7 linked regions of the Macaca mulatta genome follow. The protein of the gene in region 7 interacts with the protein of the main gene of each other region in a biochemical or structural test. Links are inferred from orthologs where the notes say so. Each region holds a gene or a part of one and is shown on either strand. Other genes may lie near its edges. The genes, in order: BAG2, NDUFAF7, CUEDC1, CDC42EP3, LGALS8, ARFGAP1 and LRRK2.

Region 1 (4,159 bases), on a different chromosome or scaffold from region 7:
CTCTCTGGAATGAGGGTCTTTTGACCCACAATCAGACTAGAAACAAGGCAGGCGAAAGAAGGTCAGACAGAGATTCTTTTTCCTGAGGCCTAAAGCACCCCAACATTATAACGTAAGACTGTCATAAGGGTTATGGGAGTTATGAGCCAGGAACTGTGGATGAAAACATTATATATATATATATATATATATATATATATATATATATATAAAGTTGTAATATAGTATTTTTTATAAATTACAATAATTGTTAAAAAGTAACAATAAGCAAGATGGTTTGAGCCACTGAGGAATGCAAAACTCAGACTCCATTTAGAATTGATCATAAAAACAGGGAGAAAAGGGAATCACCTCTGTAGAAGGAAGAAATACAGAAGACAAAATGCAGTCTAAAAAAAGAGCCTAGTGTACTGATAAATTCCATCAGAGATAAATGGAAATCCTTTAACAGTTTGTAGAACTGCTGCCAAACATTTTAATCATGTAGATCAGTTCATACTCCAGGTCATGAAGTATGAAATTTCTTCCACAATTGACAGGATGATGTGGTTAGGGAACATTACGTGCACACTTCTAAGTACAAACGGTAAGGTTTTATTCTACCCAGTTACACTACTTTATTAGTTAACATAAAATCAAACTATTAGAGCAAAATTACATATGAGTTTCATGTTTTCATTTAAAAATCGATCTTGTACGCATGATTCTAGTTTTTAATAGTGTAGTGTTCTATGCCATTGCCCATGTGGTTTCAAAAAAACACTTTAATAGGATCAATGTTAGCATTTTTCTCTATTTTTGCTTACCTTAGGAAATCCTTTTCAGCTAGTATTACTTTTTTAAAAAGAAAAAAAAGGCCTACAAAAGTCTAGAATTACTAAAAAAAAGTCCTTGAAATGAACAGCCACATATTAATCACTTTTCTCCTCAGCTCAAATGTTAATTAAGCAAGTTGTAATTTAATCACTGATGTGCAGTAATCAGAATTCATTTTACATTAATCAAACATTAGAATATAATAATATTCAAAACCTGAGGCTTTCTTTTTAAGAGGAGCACTTCAGAGGGCTTTTGTACCTACCACATGTGAGGCATTAATTCAAGTTTGAGGACAATGACTCAGCTTGAAGGAAGGCGGGGTGGAGTAACATCCTCCCCATTCCTTTAGGAAAAAATCTTTTCTTTCTAACTAGGGGAGAGCGAGTGAAGTGGTTGAGAACATGCCCTCAACGTTCTGAAGACATGGAGAGAGGTGTGTTACTTGTTATGCGGCTCCCTAAAAAGAAACATCAGTTAGAGGGACTTCCAGTAACTGAGGCCACCAATTTCTACTTGCGCTTTACTTTTTCTGGGAGTGGAACGGGTCAGGTTTGCTAGTATTGTGAAAATCCATGAGGAAGCATTATTTCTCTCTTCCACTTGCCTCATTCTGAGTGGAACCCCAGAACCTCGTGTAGGGCTTAGGTTTCTCTGCTGCCATCCAAGAAATTATTTTGAGCGGAGAATCTCTCACTCTCTGGCTCTTTTCTCCCAATAGTAACAATAATAATGCCTTACTTGTTAAAAGAGATGCCGTGGTTTTGAAGTATTTTCTCGGCAAACGGACACTTCATATTTGGGTGTATTAATGGAGGGAGATAAAACACACATGCAGTGTTTCCTGAACTTTTTGGCTCACATGCTTCTTTGCTCATGCACAACCTAGAGAAAACTATGGAACCAACTCCTGTGTACAGTTTCAGGGAATTCCAGGTGCCTAACAAGGTTTTCTTTTAACTACAGTTGCTCACAAAATTTACACAGTAACTTGTGACAAACGTTCACAGGAAGTAGATAAAACTTTTCAATATACCGTTAAAGTCTTTCCAAAAATCTATTAACATTATATTGTTTAGAAATTCTGTACAAGTCTACTACTATATTACCTAATAAAATCTTAAGCAAGAAAAAGGGAAAACTATCTTTTCATACTTTCAGGCCAGTGACTAACACTTCGTCTTCTATGTAGGGAGGTGCCCAATAAATACTGAGAGACAAACGGAACCGCGGAATCCCGTCCGCCAGGTCAGGGGATAAAGAGAAGCCGCAACGTCTTTACTGCACGAAGCACCCGGTAACTTACTGCCTACCCCTCACTCCTCTCTAATCTTTGGTCTCAATGGATTGCTGGGTTGGTTTTGTTTTATTCATTTTTGCTCTTTTAGTGTTCTGAAGCAAGGAAACTTAACTTCACGTGGAGGGCCACTGTAAACTGCTGCCTCCCTTAAAAATGTATGACGGGAGAAGAGTAAGTTAAAAACATTTGGGGCCACACAGAAGGTTCTAGAAGCTCTGCAGACCCACGCTGCCACAGTCGTTAATCGCATGGAATCTCACCTCTTAACTTTTATCTCCTCTTTTTCCTGCTCCCCAACACCTAGGTAAGTTAATCAAAGTGTGGCCACCATCACGCCCTCACAGGTTTAGCTTACAATGCGTTTTCTCTTGGACAAGGGGAGAAAATCCAAGAAATAAACAAAACTACACCACGTCCATCCACAACAAATCTCAACAAGCAACTTCTGTTGCCGCAGCCTCACTGTGCCCCAGGGCCCGGCCCGCCACACGCGGCCTCCGTCCGCTAACCGCCCGCGCGGCGAGCAGAACGCCCGAGACCGCCCGCCCGCCCGCGGCTCACCTGAGCTCCAGCTGGTCCAGGCTCTCCAGCAGGCGGCTGGAGCGGTCGGCCATGGAGGAGGAGCGGCAGAAGCGCCCCTCGTTGGCTTTAGCGTTGATCTTCGCCTGAGCCATCTAAGCCTCCGACGCGGGGCAGCCGAGAGGTCACCGGCCCCTCCGGCGGCGGCGAGTGGAGCGCTCCTCGGGCTGCAGGCGTCGCCGTCACCACGCGGGCGCCCGCCCTCCCTCTGACGCCCGCGGGGGCAACCCGGGAGGACTCGCCGACACCGCGGCTGCCGCGTGGCCAAAGAAGGGCAGGCGCGGCGCCCGCGGGGCTCGGGGACGCCGGGCCTGGGAGGGGGCTGCAGCGGCTGGAATTAAGAGGTTCGCGGGCCACAGGGGCTCGGGCCTGGGGAGCGCAAGTCTCTGAGGCACGGGGAGGGGCAGACGCAGAGACTGAGCGCCTAATGTGGCCAGCGGATCGTCTGCTCCTCGGACCCAGGAACTACCCGAAGCCCGCCCGGACCCACAGACCACCCCCAGCTCCGCCCCGCGTGGCCCCGCCTCTTCGTGCAGCCTAAAAGTAACCAACTTCCCCCACACGAAGGTTCCTATCGGTCGATGGGTTGTGGGTGTATTGCTCAGTGATGGCTTCGTTTAGTTTCTTCCAGCACCCATAATTCAAAGCAAGAACAACGACATTAAGGGTCCTGTGATATAGGGAGAAAAGGTCCTTTTGTGAAACAGAAGGCAGTTAAGTGCAGCTCCTAGGCAGCCCACACTCACCTGACCTTCCTGTTACCACTTTATACTAAGATGAGAGTAACGAATGCTCGGACAACGCTGAAGCTATTAAGTAAAAAAGAAAAAGCTACTCCATCTTTCCCTATCTAGGTAGATGTAGGAAACAAAGTGAATTTACTTCATTTTTATCATTCTAAGGATTACAGGTGTGAACCACCACGCCCGACTTAATGAAGGAGTTTTTAATTTTTGCTATTAAAATTATTCCTGTTGAGTGAGCCGAGATCTCGCCACTGCACTCCAGCCTGGGCAACAGAACGAGACCTTGTCTAAATAAATAAATAAATAAATAAATAAATAAATAAATATTCTGAGTGAAATAATTGGCATTAAGAAGTCCTCAACTTTTAATTTTTTTTTTTTTTTTTTTTTTTTTTTTTTTTTTTTTTTTTTTTGAGACCGAGTCTCGCTCTGTGGCCCAGGCTGGAGTGCAGTGGCCGGATCTCAGCTCACTGCAAGCTCCGCCTCCCGGGTTCACGCCATTCTCCTGCCTCAGCCTCACAAGTAGCTGGGACTACAGGCACCCGCCACCACGCCCGGCTAGTTTTTTGTATTTTTTAGTAGAGACGGGGTTTCACCGTGTTAGCCAGGATGGTCTCGATCTCCTGACCTCGTGATCCACCCGTCTCGGCCTCCCAAAGTACTGGGATTACAGGCTTGAGCCACCGCGCCAGGCCAACTTTTAATGTTAACAAAAAGA
Region 2 (4,322 bases), on a different chromosome or scaffold from region 7:
TGATTTATGCAGCCATATCAATAACACAGAACTTCATGCACTGATATAGAAGGATTTCTAAGAGAGAAAAGAGAGCAAAATATAGATAGGTGTATATATATGGTACTATTCATGTAAAAAATAATAGACGCGTATTTCATACCCATAAATATGTATATGCTTGAAAAGGTATACAGTATCCCTGAAAGATATAAACTACACTTGTAAAAATAATTGCTTCCTATCAGGGCAATTGTTACGGCTGAGATAAAAGTGGAAAAAATTGGACTTTTCACTACGTATCTTTAAAGTTTGTATCACGTGTATCATGTGTATATATTACTTATTCAAAACTTAAATATACACAAGCACAGAGCAAAACTGTGAATCTACTTATCTCTAACCAACTCCTCCACCCTGAAAGTCCAGTCTCCAAACAAAATAATATTAAAAACAAAGTTAATTTCTGTCCCTTATCTGCTTAAAATCTTCCAGTGGTTTTGCATCAAACTCAGAGCAAAAGCCTGCCCTCTTACCCCTTGGACCTCATTTCTTACCATTCTCCCCTTACCTCACTCTGCCTCTGCTACATTGGCATTTTGGCTGCTCATGGAATAGGTCAGGCACTCTTCTGCCTGTCTTTGCATTTTCTGTTCCAACCAGAATGGCACATGGCTCACTCCTTCCTCTCCTTTAGGATTCTGCTCAAACATCTCCGTGATGTGTTTGTCGATCATCTCATTTAATACTAACGCGCTCCCACTCCTTATCGTCCTTTCGCACTACCCCGTGTCTGCTGTACTATGTATTTAAAAGTTTGTTTACTGTTTCTGTCCCTTAATTAGGATGTTCCAAAAAAGAGGGCTTCTGGGGCATACAGTGACACGTGCACGTACTCCACGAGAACAGAAATGAAAATTCCAATACCACTGGTGTTCAAAATACTCATACCACAAGGTCGGGACCAAGAAAAGCTACTCTCCGACCTGATGGTGTGATGGTTATACCACGTTAATAAAATGAGAGGATCGCCTACATCCTAAGAAAGGCCAGAGAATACGACGTTCAACTGGAAACTTTTCTTTTGTAAACAGCCCTGGAAACCAGCGTGGGAAGCTCACAGAACACATGCTTCCGAGGCTGGGATCTGGGATCTGGGTCCTGGACGCCCGCGCTCTACGCAGCGCGGAAGCGGCGGGGCAGTCAGCCTAGCGACATTAGGGACTGCCCACGTCTGACCCCTTTCCCCGGAGCCCGCGGCAGTTACCTTGGTGCCTCCGAGCCGTAACACTTCCTCCAGGGAGAACCCATTCTCGGTTTCATTAGCATCATCCTCGTCGTCCTCGTCCGGATCTTCTACTGCCTCCTCGGGGCGCCAAGGCCGCTTGGCGTGGAACTCCAAAGGCTCCTTGGCTGCCGCCATGGCTAGCAGAGCATACGCTCTTGGAACTCAGCCTATTTCCGCTCTGCCCGTGACGTAATTCCGGCCGGGGGGTTGGGGCGTCTTCTCCCGGAAATAGCCTAAGCCTCAGCTCCTGGCGGAGAGAGCCGGCCTGCGAATTTCAGCATGACTGTTCTGGTGAGGTCAGGTGTGGGGCCGCTGTGTGCCGTGGCGCGTGCAGGTAAGCGTCAGTCCCCTCGAAGCCCTGTTGCCTTGGAAACCGCGTGGGGTGCCTTCCTCAGCTCTTCAGTTGAGGTACCGGGGAATTAAGGGCTCAGGGGCTCACTTCCACCTTGAAGGTGCCCTGGGCTGGAAACGGGTCCGGCGCAAACGCGATAGGGCTGCGTAGTCGTGGGCAAGTGCGTGCTGTCTCTGCGCCCCGGGGGCGTGCAAAGCACAGTAGCCCGAGGTCTGCGGTAGGGTGAGGTTAAGGGTTTACGAAGCTGCTTTGAAAACGCTCAGGCGGCTTGCGTTCGTGAATGTTAAGATTTATCACGGGGTTTGTTTGATTTGTGTTTTTCACAGCCATTCCTTCTATTTGGAGAGGGAAATACTTCAGCTCCGGGAATGAACCTGCAGAAAACAACCCGGTGACGCCGATGCTGCGGCATCTTATGTACAAAATAAAGTCTACTGGTCCCATCACTGTGGCCGAGTACATGAAGGAGGTGTTGACTAATCCAGCCAAGGTATGGTCGGGTAGCCCGAGGACTAGGCCCTCTCTAGCCGATTTGCGAGGTGCGAGCCAGGAGGGAGAAGCCCGAAGGTCCTCAGCCCAGGCAGTGGGGGTGCCTGCCAGGGGAAGAGCCATTTCTGAGGACCTGGGGACAGATAATCTGTCAGTTGGGCAGGGCTGGCTCACATCAGAGGCAGGGCCAATAAACAGGAGAGGACACGGTCCAAGGGTGTTTAGGAGACAGAATGTAGCTGATTGGATTTATGATGCGGGAAGGATGACTTTCCTACTTGGCTGATGGTAGGTGGTGTGGATTATTGCTCTGGGAGAAGGAATGTAGGAGGAAGGATGGAGAGTTCAGGCTGGTATATGAATCTGAAGTGTTGTAGGACTCTAAGGTGGAAATCTCCAACAGGCATCTGGAAATAGGAATTACTGCCTGAAAAGTTGCCTTGTTGGAGTGGCCTCAGCTGGCACTGGAGAGATGTGCTGGGTTTTCTCACATGTGCAGTTGAGAATGCAGTCTGGGTCTGCACTGTTCTAAGATTAGGCACAGTCACAGCTTTCTGACCCACGTTTCCTTGTCTGTTCTATAGAGCCATTTGGTGAAAGCCTGTAGTCCTTTATTTTAGAATATTTCACCTTTTGCTGGGTTGAAATATGACCTCTGTGGAATTCTGGGGTTGATTTGGCCATTGCTGTTGGATATGGTGGCGTGACTCCAGTGTCGAGGTTTACCCAAGGCCGGTATCTTTCTTTCAATGCTGGTGGGCAAGGCTGCAAGATAGGTGGCTTAGACTAGTGTGGTGGTACTAGAAATAGAAGAGGGTGGTTTAGAAAAGGACTGACAGGATTTGCCGATGGATTGAGTGATGCAACGGAGGAATCAAGGCTGATTCGTAGTTTTGGCTTGAGCAGTTAGGTGGTGACGGCACCTTTTATTGAGATTAAGACAGACAGGACCGGGTTTGGAGGAGTGCTGGGGAGAGGGCCTACACCAGGAGCTGCATTTTATACATATTTTGTTAGCAATGACATCCAGGTGGAGATAGAAAGTAGGCAATTGGCTGTAAGAGTCTGGCGTTCAGGGCCGGACATGGTGGCTCACGCCTGTAATCCCAGCACTTTGGGAGGCCAAGGCGGGTGGATCACGAGGTCAGGAGTTTGAGACCAGCCTGACCAACATGGTGAAACCCCCTCTCTACTAAAAATACAAAAATTATTGGGTGTGGTGGCGGGTGCCTGTAATCCCCGCTAGTCAGGAGGCAGGGGAATCACTTGAACCCAGGAGCAGAGGTTGCCGTGAGCCGACATCACGCCATTGCACTCCAGCCTGGGCAACAGAGTGAGACTCTGTCTCAAAAAAAGAAGAAAACAAAAAAAGAGCCTGGAGTTCAGAAGAAAGACTGGGCAGGCATATATACATTTGCTCATCATCAGCATGTAGGTGATATTGAAAGCCAAGGAACCAAGGAGAATGTACTGAGAGAAAGGAAGGTTTCCCAGCATTGAGACTTGGGGTAACTCTAAAATTTAGAGGCTCTTAACCTAGGAACCCTTTAATAGAAATCAGGGGTTTCATGAACCTGGATGGAAAAAAATTACACCTTTATTTTCACTAACTTTCAACTGAAATTTAGCATTTCTTCAATTATGAACATACGCAGCAACCAGTAGCATCAGCAATACTTGTGAATTTGTCGTCTGTGGAAATCATTGGTATTTCCTTATCACAATACAGTGATCACAGGCATCTCAGAATTTCATCATGCTCATCCTTACTTCAAAATTTTGTTAATTATTGGGTCTTTCGCTTGATTATGGGCTTTTTTGTTTGTTTGCTTTTTGAGATAGAGTCTCATTCTGTCACCCAGGCTGGAGTGCAGTAGTGCGATCTCGGCTCACTGCAGCCTCTGCCTACCAGTTTCAAAGGATTCTTGTGCCTCAGCCTCCCGAGTAGCTGGGATTACAGGTGTATGCTTCCATGCCCAGCTAGGTTTTTTGTATTTTCAGTGGAGATGGGGTTTTGCCTTGTCGGCCAGGCTGGTCTTGAACTCCTGGCCTCATGTGATCCGCCTGTCTCGGCCTCCCAAAATGCTGGAATTACAGGTGTGAGCCACTGTGCCCGGCCTGATTATGTTTTTTTAAATACGCTAGTAAAGAAGTGTATATATCACATTTTTAAAAACATTTGATACACATTTTTCAGATATTTCTTTGTGGTTC
Region 3 (3,527 bases), on a different chromosome or scaffold from region 7:
GCTAGAGGAGTCCAGATGCACCTTCTGAGGTTCTCCCTCCGCTGCTTTCCTGGGTGGCTCCGAGGTGTGGTTAAGTTGGGGGTGGGCACCCGTGTCCCAGATGAAGACCCTGAGACCCCAAGAACGGGTAATACCCCTGGTGAGGGTCCCTCCCTGCTGTAGCCTGGGGTGGTCTGCGAGTCCCTGAGAGATGGGGCTTCCTCACTCCCCATCTCTGGCCTTTGGAGAAAAATGAAGCCTCCAACAGTGGCAGAAGGTGGCAGTGATGTAGAAAAAATTTGGCCTAGGAATGGGAGTCCCGGGTTGTGATGCAAGCTCCTCTCCAGACCATTCCCTCTCCCCTTGTGTCTGTGCAGCCAGAGGGTGGACGAGGCGTGCTGGGGTTCCCTTGGCTCCAGTCTGCAAGAGCTGAGCTCCCACCAGGCACTTAGCAGCTGGTTATCCCGTCTGCTGCCGCCCCCGCCCCTTCCCCTCGCCCCCGCCGCCGGCCACCCGCCCAAAATAGAAAAGGAAAGGAAGTTATTTCCATAGTCAGCTGCAGCCCGGAAAAGCTCCCCTCCAGTGAGGGGGCGGGCGGGATTCCTGGAGCTGGAGACCAAATCAAAGCCAGGCCCGAGAGAGCGAGAGCGGCCCCCACCGCCCGGCCCTCGGCTGCCTTCTCAGTGTGCCGTTTCCCTGACTCAGCGGAACACGTGTCCTGCGGTTGCCACGCTGCAGGCTGCCATGGAGCTGTGGGGAGCTCCTGGCTGGGCTCCGAGCTGCCCTCAGGCCCAGGGCGGTAGGGCGGGAGCCTGGGGGTCAGGGAGGGTGTGTGTGCCACCCCCTCTTCCTCTACTGCCTTGCCCAGCTGTTGGCTCTGCCATGGCACGGAGCTCCTGCCACACACACACCAGGCCTGGAAAGAGTGGTCCCAGAGCACCCTGAGAGGGAGATCCCTTCCACACTCACCTCTCCACACACTTTTCAGAACACTGCTCAGGACATGGCCTCCTGAGGGGCTCCCCAGTACCTGGGCAGGGAGGCAGCAGTTTCTAGCTAAGGAAACCGAACCCGAGAGGGGAACAGGGGCCCACCTAAGACTACCCCGCCGGCTGATGGTTGAGCCAGAACTGGAGCTTGGATCTGCTTTACCCTCTGTACGGATCCTGGCGTCCCCATATGCCCCCTCTTCAGCAAACCAACATGCAGCAGGCTGTGCTGTTGGTGGCTTATGTGTCTGTTCCTTTGGACCATACCTGTCACTCAGCACCGTGAGCCTGGCACTGTGTAGGTGCTAGCATAGAAGCATGAAAGGATACAATCCCTGCTGTCTTTAGGGCACATTTGTAAACATCTATAGCTAAATCCACAGAGTTCCACATGTGCACCATGGACAGACAGCGCTGAAGGTCTAGAGACCTGGGCGGGCATGTGACTGGACAGCATGAATGGCTGGGGAGTTCGCTGAGGCCGGTGGAGACATCTCCAGTGATGACACAAAGTGATGGGCCTTTGTTCTGGGGGCAGTGGAGGCCATGGGAATCTCTGAGCAGGATCTGACCTGCCTGAGGACCTGGTGTGATGGGGCCAGGAGACCTGGGGTTGGGCTTAATGACTCCCTCTTCCCTGTCACCTCCCATCCCCTAGTATCGACGTGCTGAGCTCTGCAGCCCCTACAAGCCAGAGACGCTATCGGAACTGGAACCCACCACTACTGGGCAACCTCCCGGATGACTTTCTCCGCATCCTCCCCCAGCAGCTGGACAGCATACAGGTAACAGGGGCCGCCCCCGCCTTCCACTCCCACCTGCCTGTCCAGCATCTCTCTTTGCCCACACAATTTGTGCCAGCCAGTTTTACTTCCTGATGTTTAAACCCAGGCTGAGCTATTTCTGTTGCCCTGGGTTCGTAGGGAAAGAATGCTGAACTGAAAGCCTCACTTCCTGCCTGGGTCTGGAGGTTTCCTGTTCTATCCAGGGAAGGTGGCAGCCTAAGGAGGCTGTCTGCTGCAGCAGTCACCTCAGGCTGGAGAGAGGCGGGCATGGGGTGGCCAATGGTGGAGGGCCAGAGCACCCCCCTTCCTCCCTCGGGAAAGGGCCAGAGGCAGCTTCTCGATAGATGTTGGCATGCTCCAAGGTGCCCCACAGCGGGGCAGGTCCACCCTGAGGCTGCCGGTGCCGGGAGAGGGTTGAGTTTGGGAATCCACGTATAGGCTGTTCCACAGTTTGCAGATTTCTTTTCAGGACTGTTCAGGTTGTAGATGAAGGTATGAGGTGGTCCGTGGCGTGGAGGAAAAATAGTTTTTAGGCTACTGCTGTGTCCCCTGCAATGAGGGCTCTGACCTGTCCGTTGGATTTTGGCTTGCCACTAGGTTCCATTAGGAGGTGTGAGCCTCAGGTGAGGGCTAGAGGATCTTGGACAGGGCGTGTGTGCAACCAGAGGGATGTGGATGTTTGTGCAACATGTACCCTTGTGTGTACACGTTCAACATGCTCGCCTCCCTCCTCAGGGTAATGCTGGGGGCCCCAAGCCTGGGAGCGGAGACGGAGGTCCACCTGCCATGACTGGGCCAGGGCCCCGAGACCAGGAGAGCCGCTGGAAGCAGTACCTGGAGGATGAGAGGATCGCGCTTTTCCTACAGAACGAGGAGTTCATGAAGGAGCTGCAACGAAACCGCGACTTCCTCCTTGCCCTGGAGAGAGGTGGGCAGTGCCTGCAGCCACTTCTCCCTGGCTGAAGAAGGGAGGTGATGCTGGCTTTAGCCTTGGGGCTCAGGAAAGCACTGAGCTGGGGGCTGAGGGGCCAGGTGCTTTCTGTCCTACTGAGCCTTGACTCCCACCAAGTTATCCCATGGGAGCCTCAGAATTCTGCCTATGGGGACCTGGGTCACTAACCCACCCCTTTCTCCCTCGGGACTCAGAGGAAGAAGGGTGTGCACTCTTAGGCCTTCTTCCCTTTGCACACCTGCTCTGTGCCAGGAACTGGCCTTGGCACAAGGCAGCAGGGAGAAGAGCACTGCCCCTCCTCACAGAGCCCCAGCCCCAAGGCAGGCGTGATGTGTCTGGAGCTCCGGGAACAGAATGACTGGGTTCGTGAACGCCAGGGTTGGGGAGGCTCTTGAGTGGAAGACCTTAGAGCAGGGGCTCTGGAACTTTGCAGGTATTTGGGTTGTCTCTGGGTTGGAGACCCTGCTCCCCAGCCTGGCTACCTTTCCCCTGCAGGGTGGGAGTGCGTTTGGGATAGAGGAAATGAGAGGGCGGTGGAGCTCTGTCCCTGTGATGGCCACAGCGTGAGAGCTTGTGTGTGTAACTGATGGTGTGTTGGTGGGGGAGGAGCAAGTTGTGCAGGGAGAAGGCTGGGCTGAGGCCCAAGGTTAGCCCCAGCTCTGCAGCAAAGGTGCTGGAAGGCTCAAGGCCTTTCCGTTTATTATTTATTTATTTATTTTTTTGAGACAGAGTCTCCCTCTTGTCGCCCAGGTTGAAATGCAGTGGCTCAATCTCGGCTCACTGCAATCTCCGCCTCCCAGGTTCAAGTGTTTCTCCTGCCTC
Region 4 (3,987 bases), on a different chromosome or scaffold from region 7:
CCTTTTTCTAAGTAGGCCAGCAACATTTAATATTTTTCAATAAATTAATATATAAAATATATACATTAGTGCCAAATGGAACATATAATTTGAAATATGAAACCCAAGTAAAATGCTCAGGAATCTGGAGTAGAATCCAGGTATCTGCCAAAGGAAACTTTGGACGAGTTGTCTTTTGAAGAAGGGAAACAATGCTGGGTCTCTTATCTTCATGGACTGTTTTGCTTGTCAAACTTCTAACATCACTTCAGCCGAGTTTCTTATTTGACTTCCAACCTCATGGCCATTTGACCTGCCAACTATTATTTTTCTTTGAAGCTTTTAACACCCCACCCAAGTATTTTGCTTTCCAGATTGTGTCCGTTTCCTTTTCACTTCACCTTAAAGTCAGCCTGGGTTTACAACATCGGCTTAAGGTGCACCCTCTAGGGTTTCAGACAGACCTAGAGGACCGCGGTGATGACTGAAGCTAGGGACCTCTCGGCAAAGCCAAGGTGCCCGGAAAGTTCTCCGCGTTGTGCCGGGATTTCCATCCAACCTGAGAGTCTCAGGGCAGAGACCAGGCCCCGAGCATCCGACTCCCCGGGGTCCCAGCCCCCTCCCCAGGCTAATCATGCGGGCTGGGACCTCCCAGCCGGAAAAAACCGCCCTTTCCTGTCGCCTACTCCTTCCCCAGGCCGATGACTCGCGGAGGAGGAAAAGACGGAGGCCGATTAAGAAAATTAGCATTCATTAACCCGGTTCACGCTAGTGCCCCGGCGGAGGGGAGGGGTGCGCCAGTCGGCGGCGCTGGCTGTGGCCCGCTGACCGGCGGGCGCAGGTGCCACCACGGGAGGAATTTTACGGTCCCGGGCCGGCAGCTGCGCCACTTGCGCCTCGTCGCGCGTCTGGGGCAGCCGCCACCAGCTTGCTTCAGCTTTAGGCAAATCCTTTTGAAAGACCCTGAGGGAGAGGAAACGCCTCCCTCTGGACAGGAGAACCTGTAGCGTCTGCTGTTCGTCGCTTGTCCAGTTGCTCAGCCCGGAGCTCCGGCATCTCCAGGGCGCGAAGTCCACGCTCCGGGTTTTGGCTGCAGCTCCAAGGGGAGCGAGCTGGAAACTGACAGAACGCGACCCTCCCCCTCCGCGCCCACCAGAGCACTGGCTGCGAGGGACCTGGGGAGCTGCGGCCTGAACGGGGAGGCGCGCTCAGGTGGCCTCGCTTCCCTGCCGGTCACCGCCCGCCACACCGGAACTTCGCACGGCTAGGTCGGCCTGTTGGGATCGGGAGAGGTGGGCGCACGAGGTTTAGTGCGGGAGTCCGGGGTGCGGGCGGAGTCCTATTGTCCCCGTGCACCCGGGCGGCAGCACCTCCGGGTCCCTCTTTAAAACGAGCGTCCGACGACCTTTCTTTGTGCTTAGGGAGTCGAAAGCGGCGTCTTCTCCGAGGGAAGTCGCCTACTGGGGGGTAGCGCTGGAGAGGTAACAATGGGCGCCCGTTGTCCTCCGAGGGTCCAACGGTGAACCCCCCTGCGCGCGCGCCCGGCTGCCGGTTGGCCCCGGGCCAGGGCACAGGTACAGCGGCCGGGAGGGTCGGCCCCGGGGCCCGTGCCCTCCGCCCCGCCCCAGTCCGTCCCCGCGCCGCCGGCCCCGCCCCGCGCCGCCCCGCCCTCCGCAGGTTCAGTCCTCGCGTCCTGCCGCCCAGCTCTCAGTTGCGCGCACCTTCTCTTGCGGCCGAGGGTCCGCAGTGCGGGGTTAGCCCGGAGACCCGGCCACCGGCCTGGGGCGCCTTCACGCTGTCTCGGAGCGGATAATGCGGTGAGCAGGCACCGCGCCGGCAGACTCGGCTGGATCTGCGCACACCGGCCGGGGCTGCGTGCGCCCGCGGGAGGCCCGGGGCAGCGGCTGGGATTCTCAGCGGCGGCCGGTGAGTCTGGGTAATCCAGGGTTCCTTCCTCTCTACCTGTCTGTGAGTCTGTCCCGCCCGCGCCGTGGCCGCTTCCGGCGTGCGCTGGTGTTAGGCTGGGAAACCAGCAGGGAGCCGGGATACCGAGGGCATCGCTTTCACATCTAGTGTCCAACGGACCGAAGGGGACATAAAGCAAGCCAGGAGTGGGGCGGGCGGCATGACCGGGACTCAGAGCTCCACCATTTGTGCCCACCGCTTTTCAGGGTGGGGCAGCGCGGCCCCATTGCTCCCTCCGAGCTATTGACAGAGCCATTCTGGGCGCGTATAGCATTTTTCCATCTGAGAACAAGCCGCACTTGGCTACCGCGCCCCTCGCGTCGTGAATTGGTACCAGGGCCGCACATGGGTGCATCGCACAGCTCTGCCGTGGCATCGCCTGCCCGGTGCCCTCCTCTTTCTTAATGGAGGACATTGTTAGTGGGGCGCCAACCTGGAAATCTGGATATTGACTTTTTTGTTTTTTGACGGTGAACAGCTGAAACGTTTACAAGGTTTTTTGATTGTAGTTTTCCTCCCTTTCTCCTTGAAACCAAGTGGCTTGACACAGACAAGTATCAGACGTGAGGACGAGTGGATCTGGCCAATCGTTTTTTCGTTATGAATTATTATACTCTATCCCCCTCCGACTTTGGGAGGCATGTGTTTCATCTTATAAATAGAAAGTAGCATATTTTTTGGCAGGATCTCCTTTATACTGTGCAGTCTAGGAGAGGTCAGTTTAAAAATAAATATGCACTTGAATGTTACATTACCGAGAGCCAGGCTGTGGCTGGGACAAGCTGCGTGGACAGCAGCATCAAAGCCGGGAGCGCAGCTGTGTTGAAAGGAGTAAAAGCCCCAGAGTGCAGCGCAGGCTGACAGTCAAGTAATTACATTTTGTTTAAAAAAAAAAAAAAAAAAAGTGAGCGAATTAAAATGAGGAATGTCAGGAGGGTATTGCAACATGAATCTTTCCAGCCCTGGCGTCTTTGGAGGAGTGGGCTGCTGGTGTGTGCTGAGGGTATGGGGGGCTCTAGGGAGGGAACTGATGAATGTGTTAGGGAGACAAAGATTCCGTTCCCATCTCCCAGATCTTAGTTCCCACAATATCCCAGAGTTTCTGGGGAGTACTCCCATTTAAAAAGAACAAAAATTAGGAGAGCAGCAGATGTCTGTATTTTAATAGCAAAGCCAGTCTTAGGGACTTCCTCTTAACATCACAGGGAGAAAAAAGACTCGCCAGGAACCAGGGATGATGCCCCAAAGGTATACCTAAGAGAATTTAAACGACTCCTGTAATGTTCTAACTTACACAAGAGCTTTCATCTTAAAACCGGGAAAAATGTACCTTCTCTTCTTTTCTGGACAGTCCCAGAAGTCTATTATTTCATACCCCCTGCAATTTGTGTGAGTTCTTATTGGTAGTTAATAAGCTACACAGGTAGGTGTGTGATGCATACCCTTTTCAGAATAGATTTAGACCCTCAGAAATAAGTTGGAGTAGTTGTGAAATATTTAGCATTTTCATGTATCATGAAATACGTGATAAAGGCCTTTTATATAGTCAAGGAATGGTGGAAAGTTCTTCATAGTCTCCCAAATAATGTGGGTTTCCCAGTGGGCCTCACCCATTGAATAAGACAGCGTCAGCCTCTGAGTTCACAGATAAGAACTTTAGAGGAGAAATTTGGAAGCATTTCTGGATCCATGGCAGTTTCTGTTTTCCAGTGGTATCATCTGCTAGAGATTTACATGATGAAGTCTATGATTAGAACGTGGTGCTGAGGCTGTGGCAGCAGCTACAGGCTTGAAATAAGATGAGCTCCTCTTTCCCTCAATCTGAGCAGTGAAATTGTTTCGCATATCTCTATGGAACAAGTAAAAGCAGCTAGAGTAATGCGTGTTGCACACTTTTTGCTTTTTATTGTACATTTAAGTGTGGTGCAAGATGAGTAATACAAAGCCGTAACAATGATTGCAGAAGGGCTCACGTGAGTTCATTTGCCCTGTCTGCCCTCCAGCCTTTCCTTTAATGTGGTGTTTTGTTTTATGTCCAACATG
Region 5 (3,527 bases), on a different chromosome or scaffold from region 7:
TTGGATCCTGGAACTTTGATTGTAATACGTGGGCATGTTCCTAGTGATGCAGACAGGTAAAATCATTGTGCTGAAGGAAGGAGCATGAATAAGCTGTGTTTTTGTGATTGTGGAACGATAACAAAGAGTAATGTGGGAGAGACCATTTGATACTTTGAGGCCTAATTTGCTTTCGTCAGCATCCCTGGCCAAGGTGCTGAGGAGCGTGGAATGAATGACTAAATAAAGGTTATTGGGATTTATTTCATTGCTGTAAGTCTGATTTCAGTATAAAAAATTAGAACTATCAGCTGGATGTGGTGACTTACACATGCTTTTCCAGCACTTTGGGAGGCCAAGGCGGGAGGACTGTTAGAGGCCAGGAGTTTGAGACCAGCCTGGGCAACATAGTGAGACCCTCCCATCTGTTAAAAAAAAAAATTTTTTTTTAAAAATTAACTGGGCATAGTGGTGTGCGCCTGTAGTTCCAGCTACTCAGGGGGCTGAGGTAGGAGGATCACTTGATCCCAGGAGTTTGAGGTTGCAGTGAGCTGTGATCAAGCCACTGCACTCCAGACTGGGTGACAAAAAAAAAAAGAAAAAGAAAAAGAAAAAAAGAATTAGGTATGTCATTAAAGAAAGGAATTGTGGTCAGATGACAGGGATAGTCTAGTTGTAGTCTGACATTCCCACAGCATCACAGAAGATCCAGTTCAGATGGTTTTACTGAATACTTGCTTTGGATGCAAGCTGTGGTATCGTTAGTGTTGGGCTTGGCTCTGTGTACCTAACACCTGAAGAGCAGTGGTTTAAGTGAGATGTGAAAATTAAGTCTCAAGGAGACAGCCCAGGCCTTTCAGTCAACTCCTTCAAGTCGTTAGAGAAGGAGACTCCTTCCAGCTCACCACTCTGCTATCTTGAGGGTGAGGTGAGGTCCCTTTTCCCGTTATCCTTGGCAGCTAGATTTCCAGCCCTCACCTCTGTGCTTTGGGTAGCTGGATGGGTGCACATGGTGTTTGCGGGGAAGCAGAGATGAACAAAAGGCAAGTGCTTGCTGACTTTGAAGGCAGTTTCCAGTAGTCTTCCCTGAGCCCTTCACTTCCATCTTATCAGCAGAGCTTTAGCTGCACAGGCAGGCCTAGCTGCAAGGAAGGCTGGGAAAGGTAGGTTTTTATTCTGGGCAGATTCAGACCCATTTCAAACTCGGGGGCTGTGTTACTGAGGAAGACAGAGAAGAAGATTAGGCAGCCAGCTCTTTCGGCCTCATAGTGAATGAACGAGGAGGGATCCGTCAGTCCGGTCACTGGGCCTGGAGTGTAGTGCCTGCTGGGCCGTTCACGGGAGCTTTCCTTTCTGAGCACTCTTGGGGCCCCTGTGTCTTCCCTCATAGATTCCAGGTGGATCTGCAGTATGGCAGCAGCGTGAAACCTCGCGCCGACGTGGCCTTTCATTTCAATCCTCGTTTCAAAAGGGCCGGCTGCATTGTTTGCAATACTTTGATAAAAGAAAAATGGGGACGGGAAGAGATCACCTATGACACGCCTTTCAAAAGAGAGAAGTCTTTTGAGATCGTGATTATGGTGCTGAAGGACAAATTCCAGGTAGGTTTTGGAGAGGACCAGGTTGAGTCCTCATGAGCGAGCGGGACTGCACAGGGGCGCTTTTCACGTTTGTGAGCCCGGCCTTCTATTTCCTACACCTGAGACATGGTTTGTTTGGCTTTGTAGTTTTTCTCCATAAAAGGACCAGGAAGGCACCTAAATGTGAGGTGTGGCACCACTACTCTCCAGCCAGTTGTTGCCGTGCAGAAATATGGTCCATTGTGACCAGATCTTTTTATTAGATCCTGTTTCTCCTAGCAGGGCTGAGTTCTGAATTGACACAGTATTATGTTAATGATGGGAGGGTAAGTTATAATATAACCGCCACCATCCGAAGAGCTAACAAGGGCAATCCTAGCATAGAAATCAGAAGGGTTTTATAAATTCAAGTCTTGCCACAAGATAGTTCTGTAGGATCGAGAGTTTAGATCCAGAGGAGATCCTAGAAATCCTTGATGTCACTTCCATCTCTGGCTTCATGGAGTGTCTTATACCTAGCGTGTATGTGTACGGTTGAATTTGGTCCTAGAGGCTCTTACACCGGCTGGCACTCCGGCCTGTGGAGCTTTCCCAGGGTAGAGGTTTGTACCAGTGTGAGAACAGACCCACATGTCTTTGGCACAGATCCTTTCTGATCTTTAGGATACCGCTCCCGCCCAAAAATCTTTCTGAATCTCCCAAACTCCATTCACCTCTCCCTTCTCTGGCCTTTCCAGCCGTGTCTGTATCATTCTTTTTAACCATTTTTTAACAGTTGTGCTTTGGCTTGATGTGTTTATTTTGCCCCCACAATGGGATTTGAAGCTCCTTGAGTCAGAGACTGTATTGTATGCTGCTTGCGTTTTCTGCCTATAACCTAACCTGGTACCTGGCATTTGAGAGGGAGGGAGGAGGAGCAACGTAGAGTGCTGAGGACCTGCGGAAGCTACTTTCTCGTCATCTTGCTACTGTAGTCTGTTGAGGTAGAGATTGTTCCTACTTCAGAATATGAAAACCGAATCTTAAAAATATGTTGAGTAACTTGTCCATATTAGTTTTATTTAGCAAAGTCAACAGATTTTGATCTTTAACCTGGGTGCACGACCTCCAGGGCACCTGTGCCTGGGCTTCCAGGAGACCTTCGAACCCAGATGTCTCACATGTGTGCAGAGGCTCACAGAGGCACACGCACCTGGATTTGTGACTGCGTGTTTGTCTGGGGAGAGACAGTTCCTGGTGCTTAATCAGATCAGGAACTCGAAGTTCAGAAGCACTGCTAGTGTTTTGGGTGCTTTTGGTTACAGTGTGGTCAGATGTGTGTGGAGACCTGTGGGAAAGGGTATAAAATTGGATGCAAGGAAACATTTGGATAAGAAGTTAATTTATTAACTTCTTTTTTTGGGGGGGGTTGTCTTCTGTATCTTCCTAGGTGGCTGTAAATGGAAAACATACTCTGCTCTATGGCCACAGGATCGGCACAGAGAAAATAGACACTCTGGGCATTTATGGCAAAGTGAATATTCACTCCATTGGTTTTAGATTCAGCTCGGTGAGTGACCTGCCACAGCTTGGGGTCTTTTATGAGGATGGTTTTTGATGAGATGGTAGAAAAAGTCTTCAAATAACACTTCTATTGACATAAAAAGGACGGCTCTCCCTGATTGCAGTATTAATTTTTTGGAAGTGAACTATTCACACTAGCAGAAGGGTTTTTATCAGCCAGCGCTTCATTGTCTGTAGGATCTCAAATCTCGTGTGGTTTTAGCAAAACACACATTGTTTTTAGCTGGGTAGTGGCTATTGCCTTTGCATGGGTGTAAAATGGACTATTTCCATAAGAGAGTTTCCTAGACTGGGAGTGTCTGAGTCAAAGAGCACAGTCATGTGTTGCATAAGGACAGTTCAATGATGAACTGCACATACAACAGTGGTCCCATAAGCTTGTCATACTGTATTTTTACTGTACCT
Region 6 (4,055 bases), on a different chromosome or scaffold from region 7:
AGAAAAAATATGCCTACACAAAGACCTTTCAAGATAGCTTTACTCATACTAGCCAAAACTGACACGACCCCAGTGTCCAAAGTGTGAATAAATGAAGGAAGTGGCGTGTTTCCCATGGCACACTGCTCGGCAATAAAAAGGAACCAGTTACGGGTACGTGCAATGTGGCTGAATCTCTGAGACATCACGTTAAAGGAAAGCCATCACGAAGGTATATTTTGCACAGCTCTATTTGTGTGATATTCCAGAAGAGACAAAACTAAGATATGGCGATATTGGAATCAGAAGAGTGGCTGCCTCTGATGGAAATGTTCTATAATTGACTATGGTAGACATTACGTGGGGGTATGCATTTGTCAAAACTCATTGAACTGCACGTTTTGCAGTGTGTAGCTTATACCTCAATAAAAATGTTTATTCTCCATCATTTCGAAAGTCAACCAGATCAATGAGGAACACATAGAATGCACAGAAAAAAACAAAGTAAAAACAAAACAAAAAATTACGTGCAACTAACCTCCCACAGGTGATCACTTTTTCAGCTGTGTACCTTCCTAGTGCAGACCATTGCACACCTGCACCCTGGGGCATCTGCGTGGCAGGGGTGGGGGCCTGCGGACCCTCTTAACCCCGCCGCCTCCCACCAGGGCCCAAAGGCTCGGGTGGTGGAAGAGAGACTCAGACCCCAGGGCGGGAGCACGGGCCCCAGGACGCAACCCTCCATCCCCGCGCCGGTCCCCCGCTGCCCACTGCCCGTGACCCTCGCCTCCCTGCCTGTCACCCGCTGCCCCGGTCCTCCTACCCGAGTCCCCCTGCCGGTCCCCAGCTGTCCTGGCCCCTCTGCCCCCGCCCCGTAGACCTCGCCCCTCTGCCCGTCCTCCATGGCCCCCGGTCCTCCTACCCCCGTCCCCTTGCCGGGCGGTTCCAGCCCCGCAGCTCCCCCCCAGGCCCCCACTCGCCCCGCCCCCGTTGTCGGCCCCCGGTGAACGCGCCGTCCCAGAAGCACCTCAGTTTGGTTCCACGGATGCACGGACGCTTCTCCCGCCCGGCCCCCAAATGCTGCTGTCCTCCGCGGCCACCGCGATCAGGGGCGGTCCGGGACCTGGGGTGGGAGTTGGACGTTGCGGCTACGCGTCTCCATGGCGACCGGGCGAGTGCGCGCCTGGGGGGCTGGGGCCTGAGGCGGAAGTCCCGCCCCTGCCGGCTCCCATGAGACCTTGCAAAGCGCAACGTAGCCGGAAGCTGGTGGCGGCTGGTGGGCGACCGGGCGCATCCCCGTTGCAGTGCGGCGGTCCGAACCCGGCCCTGGCCTGACCCCGGCGGCCCTGCCCGCCTCTGCCGACAGGTAAGCGCGCGGCTCGGCGGCCCGGGCTCGGCCTGAGGCCTCGGCTGCCGCGGCGTCGTCCCCGGCCTTCGCGGGCGGACTCCCCGCCGCAGCCTCCCCCGCCCGGACCCCGCTCCACCCCGAGGCTGATGCCCCAGAGCTTGGGGGCGCCCACCCCGACCTCCCCCAGTCCCCTCGGCGCTGGACGGCGGGGCCCTTCTCGCGCGGACGCCCTGCTGCAGCCGCCCCTCCGCCGTGCCGCCCCCCGCCCCTCGTGCCCCTTCCCTCCGAAGCTGCTCTCCACCCGCACCCCGGATCTGGAATTTCCCACCGGTTACGGGAGTCCGGAGGGTCCTGCCCACCCACGTCGCCTCCCGGGGCGCGAGCAGGACCCTGCCCCGTCTCCTTCAACACCCTCTTCCCGAGCTCCTTCGGACACAGGACTCGGCCTGGACACATCCCAGTCAGGTGGCCTCTGAAGCCCGGTGGAGCTTCCCCCTGCTAAGAAGTGAGGGTCCTGCCCAGCAGGTGTTGGTGAGCCCAGTCTCATCAGAAATGGCAGCCTCAGCTCGCTTGGTTTTCCTCCTTACCCTTTGACGTGGATGACTGTCTTGAGGGAGAAAAAGAAACCAGGAAGGGGCTTTTAAAACTTCTCAGTTTATGTGTGTTTAGAAGAACTGTGCTTCTTGCCTGTTCTTTTAAACAGTTTTAATTACAGCCCACCAATTCTGAGAAGTAATTCTGCTCATTTTTTGCAGGTCTAATATTCCTGCCATGCTCTGCTGATTATAGCACCAAAGTTCGGCTGTAAAGTGGCCCAGGGAATTGAAGCCCTTAGCTTTGTTTTGGCGTCCCTTTCTGGGACCATGTCCTTGTCAAAGTTCAGAAGTAATCCGTGCTTTAGCGAAAGGGCTCTTCTTCTTAGACATGGGTAGTTGAGGCGCTTCAGACAGTTTCTGGGAACGACTGCTAGTATTTCTGCCGGTCGCTGTGTTACAGCCCTAGGGTCTAAACAGTGTTCTTAAATATCCCTTTTGATCTCACATACTGAGAATGTTCCAACTTATGGATCCTGAGTTTTGAAGTCTCCGGAGCTTACCGAACTAACACAGAGTGTCCTCACTGGGTTTGACGTTTGCTGAAGTCACATCCACTTGCAGAAGGAGGTATATTTTTGCATCTTGGTTTCAAGTGTTAAGAGTTTTGGATTATTTTTCTTTTTTTTTTTTTTTTTTTTTTTTTGGAGACGGAGTCTCGCTCTGCCGCCCAGGCTGGAGTGCAGTGGCCGGATCTCAGCTCACTGCAAGCTCCGCCTCCCGGGTTTACGCCATTCTCCTGCCTCAGCCTCCCCAGTAGCTGGGACTACAGGCGCCCGCCACCTCGCCCGGCTAGTTTTTTTTTTGTATTTTTTAGTAGAGACGGGGTTTCACCATGTTAGCCAGGATGGTCTCGATCTCCCGACCTCGTGATCCGCCCGTCTCGGCCTCCCAAAGTGCTGGGATTACAGGCTTGAGCCACCGCGCCTGGCCAGGATTATTTTTCAAGATAAACTATATTTGTGCTTTGAAGGTTAGGAGGTATTTGCTTTCGTGTTATTAACTTTAACATTTCAGGGAACTAGGGCTCTTGAATATCCACAATGAGTCACCTAGAGGAGTTCCTTTTAAATCCAAGCTGAGTCCTTTCCTTTTTGCACGTTTTCTTCCTCCGGTGGTTCTGCGAGTATCCTGTATGTTTTACAGTTAGAAATTCAAGCCATCTCCTCATGGTTCTGACTTTTGTTTGCTTGTGTCTGTTGACCAAGACATAAGCTCCTGAGGGCAGGCATGGTGCTGTGGAAAGAGTGCAGGACTGAGTGTGGAGACCTGGATTGGTCTCGTCCTGCTTTGGCGGCTCACCGCCTCTCCGTGGGCCGTGGCTTCTGCGTGTGCAGTAGTTCTGCCAGGGCCGTCGGCGGCTGCTGTACAAGAATGTGTCCCGAGGACCCTGTAAGCTCAGCCTCGCTCCCCGCCTGCCAGGGCATCTCTCCACACAGGTTCTCCCTCTTCCGTCCTCAGTCGGCTGTACTGGTGGATGCTCAGTTTGATGACGGTATCCGCCTGAATGAGTCATGCTGGGGTCCGAGTCTTGCGATCAGGAGTGAGCATTCACTGCCTCATGATCTGTGGTTCCCGGACACTCTCACACAAGGCACAGAGAATTATGGAGCAGAAGGGAGCCCAGGGTGAACTTTGGTTTTGTTTTTATGAACTGCAGAAAACAGGTGTTTATTTCCTGACTTTGAATGGGTTTAAAGTGGGCACTGGTCAATATTAGGAGTCATGGGCTTCAGAATTCAGAAACTTTGGCTGTGTGGAGTTGGGACTCCCCCAGTGAATACCTTGTTTCTGGATACTTAAGATTAGAAATGAAATATAGGACAGAGGGTTTTTTTTTTTAATTTTTAATTTTTTTAAAGCTTCACCTCAACGTAAAGTTCCACCTACAACGTTAGTGGGAAAGCTGGTCGACACGGTCTCCTCCTAAACACAGTGAAGGAGGGGAGGGCTGGTGCTGGGAAGGTCCCATGGCTTACAGAGTTCTGCGTGTTCTCCGTGTAGTGAGAGGTAGAGGGAACAGCACACGGCTGCATTCGTATTGAGAGGTGGGTGAGCCTCAGAAAAACAGTGCACTGAGGCGTGGGCTGGTGGGGATCCAGGTCTGCTGCCTCCAGGCTGGACTGTCTTCTACA
Region 7 (4,119 bases):
AATTTTTTTTTTAATGATGACATTAAAAAATACTCAGTGGTCATTCAAAGTGAATTTCCTTTTCAAAACCTTAGTTTATTACTATTTTTTTCCTGGTCTATCTGTGGCATAATGCCCTCCTCCCAGTGATTTGTAAGAACTTTTGAAAGTTAAAGGCAAATTGTGTTTCATCATATGTATTACAACTTTTTTCTTCCAGTTTGCCATTTGACTTCTAGTTTCATTAATGGGTATTTTTTCTTTGACTGCAGAGAATTTAAATTTGATGGAGTCACATACACCAACCTTATGTGATTTCTTTCTTGTTTTTATGTTTTCTTATTCAAGATTATATAACTATTAATTTATATTTTATTTTTGAAGTTATTTTTATTTAACTTTTTAATCTATCTGGAGTTTGTTTTGATGTTTGCTGTAATTAGAAATGCCAGTATTATTTTTTTCTTTTCAGGAAGTTAGCCAAATGTTCTAGCACCATTTTATTCTCCACTGAGCACTGCTTCCATCATAAATTTGTGCCTGTAATCTTCATTTTCAGTCTTGTTAACTACCTGAAGAGTTGATAAATCTTGGAATTTTAGTCAGTCAATTAAACATTTTTGAAACCTAAGAGAATACTTTACCTTAACACTGCAGTAGTTCATGGGAGAATGCTCCCAACAGATAATTCATATTTTCATACTGCCTACTCACAGTCTGGCCAATATAGAGTAGATAATAAATAGGCAATAGATGGATGAATGAATTGTGGAAATTGGAGACATCTTTTTTTTTTTTTTTTTTTTTTTGAGACGGAGTCTCGCTCTGCCGCCCAGGCTGGAGTGCAGTGGCCGGATCTCAGCTCACTGCAAGCTCCGCCTCCCGGGTTCACGCCATTCTCCTGCCTCAGCCTCCCGAGTAGTTAGGACTACAGGCGCCCGCCACCGCGCCCGGCTAGTTTTTTGTATTTTTTAGTAGAGACGGGGTTTCACCGTGTTAGCCAGGATGGTCTGGATCTCCTGACCTGGTGATCCGCCCGTCTCGGCCTCCCAAAGTGCTGGGATTACAGGCTTGAGTCACCGCGCCCGGCCGGAGACATCTTTTAATTTAGATTTATTTTGCTTTGGAAGGGAGGTAGGTTTTAATTTCTTGCAAGGTTGTAATTCAGTAGAATAGGAAGGGAGAAACTAATGCAGAGGAACAGAAGGAATGCATGAGATCGAGAATGCCTAGAAATATTTGAGACATTGATTAAGTCATCAGAAATGGAAACAAGTTTAGAAACAACTTAGAAAAGAATACACTGTAGGTCTGATAAATATTGTTAAGATTAGGATTTTTTTTTTTAAATTATGGAAAATGTTATACAGACAGAATAGTAGAACAGACCACATGAACCCATCTCTTATTATCTTCAACAATTACCAGTTCAAAAATTGTTATTGTTATCTCTGCCTCCACACATTTCATCTTTTCCTCCACCACTGGATGACTTTGAAACACATCCTAACCCTGCTACCATTTCAACTGTAAATATTTCAGCATGTCTCTGTAAAAACTGAAGACTCTACAACAACAAGACATAGACCTAATATCCAGGTTAAGTAGGAATTTGCTATCTTACTAATCTGATGAAAAAACAAAGTCTAGAGCATTTTTATTAAAGTGGTAGAGCATGAAGAACCATCTACCGGGTGTTAGGAGATTTGCCTGAGTTGAAGTCCTGGCTCTCAACTTCCCACCTGTGTGACTCCAGCAAAGCTCTTCACTTCTCTACTCCAAATCTCAATTTCCTCATTAGTGAAAGAAGGATACATAGTAGTAGTTTTATCCATTTCAGACTTGTCATCAGGATTGAAGTAACAGATGTGAAAACAAATCTAAAATTGTGAAGTAGTAACTTCCAGTCCAATCCTCTTCTTTTTAAATAACCTTGAGGACAGACACATCAACTGAAGGATAGATCATCTTTGCCTAGCCTTGTTTACAATGTTCTTGCTAGGTTTCTCTTCCTAAAAACACATTACTTAGGTACTTAACAGAACAAACAATCAAAAAACGAAACCAAAAAACTTTGGGGTTATAGACACCCATACTCATAAGTAATTCTGAATGCCAAGAGAAGAGTATTTCGGTTTGCTTCTCTCACCTTTTCACCTTTCATTTCATGTACCCTGTCCTTTGTCTCAGTTCTAATAGCTCTGAGAGCTGATTACTTTTCCGGTGTCCCACGTATCAGGATCCTGCCTAGTGCAACTCAATTCCAAAAGTTAATTTAGTGGCCTTTTGGTGACCAGAGCTTCAGATAACTCACAGGGAAACAATGTTTATTTCCTCTCCCACTAACAGTCACAACAATAATAAAAAAGACAGTAGCGGGGCAAGTTTTGATGGCTAACCTCTCTCTCCATCCTTTAAGGGGAGAACTCTATAAAGAGAATGTTTTCCTAAAGGGGCCATCTGGGCGGTGTCCTCTTTTTCCCAGCGCCCTGATTTCTATTCTTAGATCTGGAGATAGGCGGCTTTCATTTTTCCTGCTGCCAGTTCCCAGACCTTCCCTGGGGCCGCAGGATCCCCGGCTGGCGGGTCGAGGAGGGTGGCCGGCCGGGCTGCGCACTGCGCGCCTCCGCTGCGGGGCTCCGGGCCTTGGGACTCGGCGGAGTCCGCTGAGTCAGTTTCTTCCTGCGCGACTCCCCGCCGCGCCGCCGCTGTGGTGGAATCTGGTCCCAGGAGGCGGCGTCCGCCCGGGTCCAGTCTAGGCGTGCGTGGGGGCCACGGGCACGGTCATCCCGGCCAGGCCCGGCTCCAGCAGCCCCACGGCCGCCGCCGAAGTTCTGCGCGGCCCGTCGCCCCGGCGGAGCCTCTGGCAGGCCCCTGAGCTGGTTTTTTGGGGCCTGGCTGGGGGAGGAGGAAGCCGAGCAGGAGGGCTCTGGAGAGGGAGGGCAACGCGGGGCGGGGAGCCACCGCCTTCCTCATAAACAGGCGGGCGTGGGCGCCGACGGGGCCCCCGGGGAGCCCTGGCTGAGGGCGGTGAGCTGAGCTAGATCCCGGGGAGCTGTGGCCGGCGCCCCTGCCGGTTCCCTGAGCAGCGGACGTTCGTGCTGGGAGGGCGGCGGGTTGGAAGCAGGGGCCACCATGGCTAGTGGCAGCTGTCAGGGGTGCGAGGAGGACGAGGAAACTCTGAAGAAGTTGATAGTCAGGCTGAACAATGTCCAGGAAGGTAAACAGATAGAAACGCTGGTCCAAATCCTGGAGGATCTGCTGGTGTTCACGTACTCCGAGCACGGTAATCACTTGCGAAGAAACTGTGCTTTTGTTTTTGCAAACTTTCGCCCCCTCCTCACATTTGCAAACTTTGTCCTCCTCCGCTGACGCTGCTCAAACCCGGACTCTTAAAGAGCCGTAAACTCCCATCTCCTTTCCTTAGGGCGGAAAGGAGCTGAGAATTCCAGGAAGGTCTTCACCTTTTTGACTTTTCTCCCCTTTTCAGACTTAAAAGGAAAGGGGGTGCTGTGGATTGTGACTTTGCTTCTTTTCCCCACCCACTTGTTTTCCAGCCTCCAAGTTATTTCAAGGCAAAAATATCCATGTGCCTCTGTTGATCGTCTTGGACTCGTATATGAGAGTCGCGAGTGTGCAGCAGGTAAAGGCATTGTTTTCACTTCAACTCATTCGCCCTTCTGTTTGGAAGGAGACGTTTTACTGGCAGTGTTATATAGCCGGGAGTTCTTGGTTATTCTGGAAATTTGGCTTGAGGAACCTCCGACTGTGATTTTCAGATGGGGACATTGTTAAATATTTTGATCATGTAAAAAGGGATGAAGGGCCCCAGTATGTGTTCCCTGAGTGTCTTTAAGTAGTAACTTTATAAAACCAACAGTATGGGTGGTGGTAGAAGGGGGATAAAAATGGGTTCGGGTTTAGTCCCGTTATTGGCAAGATGAATTAATTACTGTTTAGACCTGACTATTCCAGGAATCTTCCCAATGTAGAACATGTCCTAGATGAGAGGATTATGAGTAGTTTGGAAAAGGGGAATAACTAATAGTGATAAAATGCCACTTTGTCACTGGCAAACTCTTGTAGAGTTCAGCATTTCTTAAAATTCAAAGACAGATTTCTAGCCTTTAGTTTTAGTAT

What was found.
Region 1: the proteins of LRRK2 (region 7) and BAG2 form a complex in vitro, tested with the Homo sapiens proteins (2 studies listed by BioGRID and IntAct, with this or other methods). The link is inferred for Macaca mulatta from reciprocal best matches to the Homo sapiens genes LRRK2 and BAG2.
Region 2: the proteins of LRRK2 (region 7) and NDUFAF7 form a complex in vitro, tested with the Homo sapiens proteins (2 studies listed by BioGRID and IntAct, with this or other methods). The link is inferred for Macaca mulatta from reciprocal best matches to the Homo sapiens genes LRRK2 and NDUFAF7.
Region 3: the proteins of LRRK2 (region 7) and CUEDC1 form a complex in vitro, tested with the Homo sapiens proteins (2 studies listed by BioGRID and IntAct, with this or other methods). The link is inferred for Macaca mulatta from reciprocal best matches to the Homo sapiens genes LRRK2 and CUEDC1.
Region 4: the proteins of LRRK2 (region 7) and CDC42EP3 interact on a protein array, tested with the Homo sapiens proteins (2 studies listed by BioGRID and IntAct, with this or other methods). The link is inferred for Macaca mulatta from reciprocal best matches to the Homo sapiens genes LRRK2 and CDC42EP3.
Region 5: the proteins of LRRK2 (region 7) and LGALS8 form a complex in vitro, tested with the Homo sapiens proteins (2 studies listed by BioGRID and IntAct, with this or other methods). The link is inferred for Macaca mulatta from reciprocal best matches to the Homo sapiens genes LRRK2 and LGALS8.
Region 6: of the proteins of LRRK2 (region 7) and ARFGAP1, one has a biochemical effect on the other in vitro, tested with the Homo sapiens proteins (3 studies listed by BioGRID and IntAct, with this or other methods). The link is inferred for Macaca mulatta from reciprocal best matches to the Homo sapiens genes LRRK2 and ARFGAP1.

Annotation. Positions count from the first base shown.
Region 1 is NC_133409.1:125,116,957-125,121,115, forward strand, and holds the start of BAG2 (BAG family molecular chaperone regulator 2), read right to left. Parts: upstream 2,825-4,159; 5' UTR 2,791-2,824; coding exon 2,678-2,790; intron 1-2,677. UniProt on the Homo sapiens protein: Co-chaperone for HSP70 and HSC70 chaperone proteins. Acts as a nucleotide-exchange factor (NEF) promoting the release of ADP from the HSP70 and HSC70 proteins thereby triggering client/substrate protein release.
Region 2 is NC_133418.1:87,707,619-87,711,940, reverse strand, and holds the start of NDUFAF7 (protein arginine methyltransferase NDUFAF7, mitochondrial), read left to right. Parts: upstream 1-1,502; 5' UTR 1,503-1,546; coding exon 1,547-1,601; intron 1,602-1,945; coding exon 1,946-2,109; intron 2,110-4,322. Other genes in the region: CEBPZ (CCAAT/enhancer-binding protein zeta), read right to left, coding at 1,247-1,402. UniProt on the Homo sapiens protein: Arginine methyltransferase involved in the assembly or stability of mitochondrial NADH:ubiquinone oxidoreductase complex (complex I).
Region 3 is NC_133421.1:52,116,447-52,119,973, forward strand, and holds part of CUEDC1 (CUE domain-containing protein 1), read left to right. Parts: intron 1-1,626; coding exon 1,627-1,753; intron 1,754-2,488; coding exon 2,489-2,681; intron 2,682-3,527.
Region 4 is NC_133418.1:87,264,470-87,268,456, forward strand, and holds the start of CDC42EP3 (cdc42 effector protein 3), read left to right. Parts: upstream 1-1,166; 5' UTR 1,167-1,905; intron 1,906-3,987.
Region 5 is NC_133406.1:12,546,170-12,549,696, reverse strand, and holds part of LGALS8 (galectin-8), read left to right. Parts: coding exon 1-56; intron 57-1,369; coding exon 1,370-1,580; intron 1,581-2,988; coding exon 2,989-3,108; intron 3,109-3,527.
Region 6 is NC_133415.1:116,130,638-116,134,692, forward strand, and holds the start of ARFGAP1 (ADP-ribosylation factor GTPase-activating protein 1), read left to right. Parts: upstream 1-1,247; 5' UTR 1,248-1,345; exon of another isoform or gene 1,346-2,490; intron 2,491-4,055. UniProt on the Homo sapiens protein: GTPase-activating protein (GAP) for the ADP ribosylation factor 1 (ARF1). Involved in membrane trafficking and /or vesicle transport.
Region 7 is NC_133416.1:47,100,405-47,104,523, forward strand, and holds the start of LRRK2 (leucine-rich repeat serine/threonine-protein kinase 2), read left to right. Parts: upstream 1-1,306; 5' UTR 1,307-3,114; coding exon 3,115-3,265; intron 3,266-3,536; coding exon 3,537-3,622; intron 3,623-4,119. UniProt on the Homo sapiens protein: Serine/threonine-protein kinase which phosphorylates a broad range of proteins involved in multiple processes such as neuronal plasticity, innate immunity, autophagy, and vesicle trafficking.